2 linked regions of the Arabidopsis thaliana genome follow. The gene in region 2 interacts genetically with the main gene of each other region. Each region holds a gene or a part of one and is shown on either strand. Other genes may lie near its edges.

Region 1 (3,928 bases), on a different chromosome or scaffold from region 2:
CAATTGAATGATTATAAAGATTCTTAACTTCACAGCTACTGAAAAAAAGAGAACCATCTAAATCCGAATATTTAATTGCCGTGAATTGATAAGAGAATTGCATACCTCGCCGTATCCACAAGCAAAATGCAATGCTGTCCTTCCTTCAGAATCTTCTTCATCTTTGTTACCACCAGATGCCAAGGCAGCTTTCAAACCCTAATGAATCAACGAATAAAAATCCAATAACGAGTTCAACAAAACAAAACTTGGAACATCTAATTCCTCAAGCAACACGCAAGATAAATCTCACATGGTCAAGCATATTAACGTAGGAAGCAGTCTAACCTCAACATCACCAAGACTGGCAGTTTGGTGAACAATAGACTCTTCTTCTTCACCTTCTTCTGCTACCTCAGGTTCAGCTGAAACAGTCTGGTCTGGTAAGCCAGCAACAGGCATACCCATTGCTTCACCCAGCTTTTTCAGCACTTCTGGATCATTCCAGTACCTAAAACAGAATAAATAATTCTTCCTTCATAAACAGAAACAAACTCTACAGTTTCTCTAAAAAACATTGAAAGAAGTTTGTATCACTCACTTCATCATGGCAGAAGGACCACCAGCATCAATCTCATCTAGTATAGGTTTCAACTCTGGATCTTCTTTCATCCGCGCCATACGCTCAGTAAAGTGTTCTGCTGTTTCAGGATTCGAGAAAGCATCCAAAAAAGGAGACATTTGTGGATCCTGTAGGCAAAAAAAATAAATAAAATCAGATAAGACACAGAGCTTCATTCAAAGCCACACCTCGATTAGATGGAAAAAGTCATCAATTCCTAACCTGAACTAAGGCGGTACCAAGTTTCTCGGCCATTGTCTTAAACTCAGGGTTATGCATAACCTGTTGCATTGTATTGACATACTGTTGAGGATCAAAGTTAGGGAAACCACCTTCCTGGCCAGCGTTAGGAATAGATCTCTGAAGCTGCTCAGCCAATTGGTTAAACGCAGGATCTTTAGCTATTTGCTCAGCCATTTCTCTGATGCTAGGATCCTACAAAAAAAACCATTATCAATTAAAAAAAAACTCAAAGAAGATAACTTTTCAATTGTGCTAACAGCAAAGGTAACTTACGTTGAGAATACTAGCCATATTAGAGAAATCAAAAGCATTGAAATTCAAGCCAGGCATAGCTGATGAAGTTGAACTCCCAGAAGCTGATTCCGGCTTAGAACTCTTATTCTCCTCCGTCGATTTGGGTTTCTCATCTACAGTAAACAAATTACAATGAACCAATAACCAAATCTGACTAGAAACGATTCATTATCGCAGATCAGATTGTATACTGAGAAGAAAATAATCACCTGAAAGAAGAGGATTTTTCTCCGAATTGGAAGCCATTAAGTATGACTAAAACCCTACAAAAAACACAATTTTGTTTTCAGGAAAAGGTGTAAACAAGAGATTCAACGAAAATAAGCGAAGAGGAAGACAAAGAAATCGAATCGACAACTACCTAAGAGAATTTAGTAAGAAAAGGAAGAAGAAGAAGAAATTAACCCGAAAAGACAATGTTGTGGTGGCAAACGCTCATGAAACTTGAAATACAGATAATCTTTCTTTTTTTTAATATGACGACAAGAGAAAAATTATTTATTTATCAGCTGGATTTTGGATTGAGAAGAAGATCAACTGCGAGGGACAACAGCCACTGCTTCTCCATTGAAGTTTGAACCTAAAGCTAAGAGGCCTTTTATTTTTAATCAAATTTATTGTTATTGGCCCATATAAACCTGTTTACCTCAAGGCCCAAGCCCATGCGTTTGAATAATAAGATCAGCCACGTAAGATTTGTGATTTAAGATCAAATTATCCGTTAATGGATAAACACGCGTCACTTCACGGAAGCAGCCGTTCATGGCAGCCACGCTTCCACTCTGTGCTGCCCTCCGATCTCCCGTCTCTTCCCGGAGATTCGCTCCAATTCACAAAACCGACGTTCCTTTTCAGTTCAATGTCGTCCTTTCACCGTTTTTCGGTTCCGTCGCTATTGGCGGTAGAATTTTCCCGCGTTTACCGGCGGCGAAGCAGGAGACTGATCAGGATGAGGTTGGATTTGATCAGCAGCCGTCTCAGGAGCTTGCGATAGCGTCGGCTTGTTTGGTTGGTGTTCTCACTGGAGTTAGTGTGGTTCTATTCAACAACTGTGTTCACTTGCTTCGAGACTTTTCCTGGGATGGGATTCCTGATCGTGGAGCTTCGTGGCTTAGAGAGGCACCGATCGGTTCCAATTGGTTGCGTGTTATCCTTGTTCCGACTATCGGCGGTTTGGTGGTGAGCATCCTCAATCAGCTTCGAGAATCTGCTGGAAAATCTACTGGAGATTCTCATTCTAGTCTCGATCGCGTAAAGGCAGTGTTGCGTCCTTTCCTTAAGACTGTTGCCGCATGTGTGACGCTTGGGACTGGAAATTCGCTGGGGCCGGAAGGTCCAAGTGTTGAAATTGGAGCGTCAATCGCTAAAGGTGTGAATTCTCTGTTCAATAAAAGTCCTCAGACTGGCTTCTCACTTCTTGCCGCTGGCTCAGCTGCTGGCATTTCCTCTGGTTTGTTCATCTGATATTTGCTAATGTTGTTCTCTCTTGCGTATGGAACTCTTGATTGATTCGTTAAGAGGACTTTGTTATATGTTGTTACAGGGTTCAATGCAGCTGTGGCTGGATGCTTCTTTGCAGTTGAATCCGTTTTGTGGCCTTCTTCATCAACTGATTCATCAACTTCACTTCCAAACACAACTTCTATGGTTATTCTTAGTGCTGTTACTGCTTCTGTGGTTTCCGAAATCGGTCTCGGCTCTGAACCTGCGTTTAAGGTTCCTGACTATGACTTCCGCTCTCCTGGAGGTAATATGCATTGCCATTCTTATGCTTTTTACGCAAGGGAACCAGAAACCAAACTTATGAGAGCTGGTCACTGATTTTCAGAACTTCCACTCTATCTTTTATTGGGCGCTCTGTGTGGCTTGGTCTCGTTGGCATTATCTCGATGTACATCATCCATGACATCTGCTGTTGACAGTCTTAACAAGGATGCTGGGATACCAAAGGCTGTATTTCCTGTAATGGGTGGATTAAGTGTTGGTATCATAGCTTTGGTATACCCTGAAGTATTATACTGGGGTTTTCAGAATGTGGATATTTTGTTGGAGAAACGTCCATTTGTGAAGGGTCTTTCAGCTGATCTTTTGCTTCAGCTGGTAGCGGTCAAGATAGCTGCAACCGCATGGTGTCGGGCTTCTGGACTTGTCGGTGGATACTATGCTCCTTCTCTCTTTATTGGCGGGGCAGCAGGAATGGCCTATGGAAAGTTTATTGGACTTGCTTTGGCTCAGAACCCTGATTTCAATCTCTCTATCTTGGAAGTGGCATCTCCACAAGCTTATGGTCTGGTACTGTTCTTATGTGGTCAATGTTTCAAAATTGTCTTAATTTCAGACTTTCTTGATTGGTTACCTATCAATACTTTGAACAGAATATTTTTTCGGGTTAACTGAGAATGGATGCTAGTTTTTTTGTAGCTTCATTGCCAATGATCCTGTTTGTCTCATTGTTTAACAGGTTGGAATGGCTGCTACACTTGCGGGGGTTTGTCAAGTTCCTCTTACAGCAGTACTACTGCTATTTGAACTTACACAGGATTATCGTATAGTGTTACCTCTACTGGGAGCTGTAGGCATGTCTTCATGGATTACATCTGGACAATCAAAGAGACAAGAAACTAGAGAAACAAAAGAAACTAGGAAAAGAAAGAGCCAAGAAGCTGTACAGTCTCTGACGTCATCTGATGATGAATCATCAACGAATAACCTTTGTGAAGTTGAAAGTTCTCTTTGCCTTGATGATTCTCTCAACCAATCTGAGGAGCTGCCGAAGAGTATTTTTGTTTC
Region 2 (3,928 bases):
AACTTACATCAACAATTAAAAAATAAAATCAAGAAGAACACAATTACATATATGATTATCCGGTTCAACCAATCATTGCACAACTTTAACCGGATATTGATCAATCGAACCAGCCCAAGCATTACCGGTCATCTCCTCCGTCGAAACCGGTCGTAACGCTTTCCAAACCGCACTATTACACTTGAAACCCGATCCAAACGCAATCTGCCAAAGTCGGTCACCAGCTTTAACCCGACCCTTAGCTTCGGTATAAGCCATCTCATACCAAAGCGAGCTACTCGAAGTGTTACCAAATCTGTGCAAAGTCATTCTAGAAGGTTCCATGTGCCAATCTTTGAGATCAAGATTCTTCTGCACTTCGTCTAGAACCGCTCTACCTCCTGCGTGAATACAGAAATGCTCGAAAGCTAGCTTGAAATCCGGAATATACGGTTTAACTTTTAACTTGAACATCTTCCTTTTGACCAAGGAAATCAAGAACATCAACTGCTCTGACAATGGAAGAACCATCGGTCCTAAAGTCGTGATGTTTGTTTTCAGAGCGTCTCCGGCGACAGACATGAGCTCTCTAGCTAAAGAGACACCGATTGTTCCTCTCTCGTCTTCCTTCTGGTACACGCAATTGTAGTTCTTGTCGTCTGATCCTTTATGTGTTCGAACGACGTTGACCAGCGAGTACTTTGACTTCTTCCGGTCTTGACGGCGGTTAGAGAGGAGAATCGCAGCTCCGCCCATTCGGAAGATGCAGTTGCAGAGGAGCATTGACCGGTCATTTCCGAAGTACCAGTTTAGGGTTATGTTTTCCGTGCTTACCACGACAGCGTAAGAATTAGGGTTTGCTTTGAGGAGATTGTTAGCGAGATCGATTGAGATTAATCCGGCGGAGCAACCCATTCCTCCGAGGTTGTAACTTTTGATGTCTTCTCTCATCTTGTAATGGTTCACGATCATCGCTGATAGAGACGGCGTCGGATTGAATAAGCTGCAGTTTACTATCAAGATTCCGACTTCGGCCGGTTTAATTCCGGTTTTCTCGAAGAGGGAATCTAAGGCTCCAAACATAACGGCTTCAGCTTCGGCACGTGCCTCTGACATATTTAGCTTCGGGGGCGTTGAAGTTATGCCACGTGGCAGATACGTCTCGTCTCCCAAACCGGCCCGGTTCGAGATTCTTTGCTGGAACTGAACCGTGTCATCGGTGAATGATCCATTTTCCTCAGTCATCGTCAAGAACGAATCTACTGATATTTTACGCTCGTCTTCCGGTTTGTAGCAGGAGAAATCCACTAGGTAAACCGGTTTAGACCGGTTAGCCACGTAGAGGGTCAAAACGAAGGAGAGGAAAACCAAGCAGGTAAGTCTCGTCGCCGTGTCGAGTTGAACCGCCTGGTTAGACCAAAGCTCAGAGAACGTATCGAACGTTAGACCGGTTAGCTGAACCAGCACGGTTCCGGTTAAAGGAAGAATAATTAAGAAGAAGAGAATGGTGGTCACGTTGCAAGAGTTGTGAAGTCCAAGCTTCACGTATTTGAGCTTAACGGACGTTAATAAATCCGGCAAACGTCTTCGAATTCTTATAACGGCCGATGATGAATCTCGAAACGCCATCTCCGCCGTTAATCTCTCTCGATCCATCTCAATGCTGTTTGTTCTCTCCATCAGTATAGTTTTGGGTCGAAATATTTCAAACGTAAATCAAGGAAGGATTGAAGATAAAATGTAAAATCTTTAGGCAAATTTGGAGAAATAGAAAGAGAGAGAAAATGAGAATGGGAATTCTAAAATTGGTGAATTAGGAGGATTTTGGTGAAATGAGGGCAAGTAGGGATGGAGAGATATATAGAGTGCAAGAAAGATAAAAATATTTTAAAGATTAATAATAGTAATGACTTAACAAAAAAAAAAAAAAGATGGAATAATATTCGAATTTAATGATGGGTGGTTCCGAGATAATACTATTAGCTCAACTACTTATATGGGACCTTGATATTAAATTAAGTAGTCAGATTATTTTTCATGTTTTGTTCACACGAAATGCAAGTTACAAAAGTCTAACAAAACCTAGCTGAATCTCATAAGTCATATGGTAGATCATAAATTTGGTTTATCTTTTTTTTCACACATATATTTGGGCATCATAACATTCTATTTTGGTGTAACCTAATTTTTTTTTTTTTTGAAGTTTTTGATAAACAACATAACTTGTTAATTATACCACTACAACACAACAAAATATGACATGTTTGTTATATATTTCCTTATAATTAAACTTAAACGTTTTAGACATCCATGATGTTTTTATTAGCAAGTGTATGTAGGTTATCCAAAATTGAGTGAGGGCAAGTTATAAAATTATATATCAATTGAATATTATAAGCAGGTTGGCTGCACGTAGTGCAAATGCACTGGGTCAGCGACGGGTAAGTTGATATAATATGTTGTAAATAGTAAATTTAAAGGGAGAACGTGTTCGAGAAACGTACCTCTCATTCATGAGAAGCGTTCACTGTCCAAATTGCAAGAACAAGGGTAGACGAAAGCGTGTCCCAAATATTCAAATTTGTTATTTCTTTGTATAAATGTGTATCCCACATGCATACAAACTCCTTAATATGGGCCATGGTAAATTGATGATAATGAATTACTATGACTTCTTAATAGCAGCACATTTCGATTTGTTTCTCCATTATATACCATCCCTATTAGCTGTTCCAGTATTGTAGTCATTGTCATTTATAAATTTGCTGTCTTCGTTAAGACGTTTGTTATATAAGGGACCCTTTACATAATGAATTTATTTCATATTATAAATCTGATAAAGAAGTAATTAGTTTTGGAGTTGCATATCTAGTTAGTTTTCGAGTATTTTTCTAGTTATTTCATATTGATTGTGCCAAGGTGTCCAAAATAGACCTCGGACGGGTAGTTGTAGCTTGTAGCTTTGTAGGTAAATAAAATGTTCGGATTTGAGGTCCCAAAGTGGACTTATTGTCCCTGTTTTGTTTTCATTGGGATAAAGTTGTTGGTAAAATGTAATGCTTTTAATAGTTAAATCATTTCTAATATCGTGATTACTGGGAAATAATAGAGAAAAAGAAAACAAAGACAAAAGGCAGCGACGTCGTTTCCATAATATCGTGATTACTGCATGAAACACATGTTTCAACAGTACGCATACCAACTCTCAAACTTCAATATTGGAAAGATCCAGTTCATCAGATGCTAATAATTCATATATTTAGGTTTATGTACAGCATAATGAACAATAGAGAGAATTAATCAATAAACAGATCAAAGTATTAATTTGCAAGATAAATGAAATAATGATGATAATAAATGGTAGACTAGTACCCATGTGTAGACATAAACCAACAATTAATGTTGGTCGGCTTAATACCAACTAACTAGAAACCAGTCCGTCATCAATGTATGAATGTACACACTCACATCTTGCAATAATTTTAAAAAGGACTAACAATTTAAATGGTTGCTACATAAATAAACGATATAGCCTTACATAAAACTAGCGAAAAAGGTTGATATTGGCTGTATAACATGCACAGTACTACCAGGCTCTAACATGCTTCAAAATACCGAATGATTCATTAAATTGAAACATTAGAGTAAACATTTTGTCGTGGTCTTGTATTTGAATTTCAGTATATAACTGTATATAATACAATATTATTGATTTTAATGGTTTTTCAAACAATTTTTTTTTTTAATTACTCGAATTTTTTCTTAATCTCGAATAAGAAAGATTAATGCTAATATATGGAATTATAAATATTTGGTCACGATTAATCCGAATCCAACTACGAATTCGATATTGAAAATGTCAATATCATCATATCACCAGATAAATAAATTCTGTCAATTGTTTCTGTTGCCAAATCGTAGTCATTTGTTTTGAATAAATCTATGGATT

The links.
Region 1: of KCS1 (region 2) and AKR2, extra expression of one rescues a mutant of the other (dosage rescue), as found in Arabidopsis thaliana (one study listed by BioGRID).

Annotation. Positions count from the first base shown.
Region 1 is NC_003075.7:16,837,318-16,841,245, reverse strand, and holds the start of AKR2 (ankyrin repeat-containing protein 2), read right to left. Parts: upstream 1,715-3,928; 5' UTR 1,500-1,714; exon of another isoform or gene 1,402-1,499; 5' UTR 1,385-1,401; coding exon 1,348-1,384; intron 1,319-1,347; exon of another isoform or gene 1,252-1,318; coding exon 1,118-1,251; intron 1,037-1,117; coding exon 824-1,036; intron 730-823; coding exon 581-729; intron 515-580; coding exon 328-514; intron 199-327; coding exon 106-198; intron 1-105. Other genes in the region: CLC-E (chloride channel E), read left to right, coding at 1,901-2,588, 2,682-2,885, 2,967-3,430, 3,600-3,928. UniProt on the Arabidopsis thaliana protein: Exhibits chaperone activity toward chloroplast outer envelope membrane, mitochondrion outer membrane, endoplasmic reticulum membrane and peroxisomal proteins, by recruiting specific proteins containing a single transmembrane associated with an AKR2A-binding sequence (ABS) and subsequently binding glycolipids (e.g. monogalactosyldiacylglycerol (MGDG) and phosphatidylglycerol (PG)) present in the membrane of the target organelle.
Region 2 is NC_003070.9:57,320-61,247, forward strand, and holds the start of KCS1 (3-ketoacyl-CoA synthase 1), read right to left. Parts: upstream 1,897-3,928; 5' UTR 1,660-1,896; coding exon 73-1,659; 3' UTR 1-72.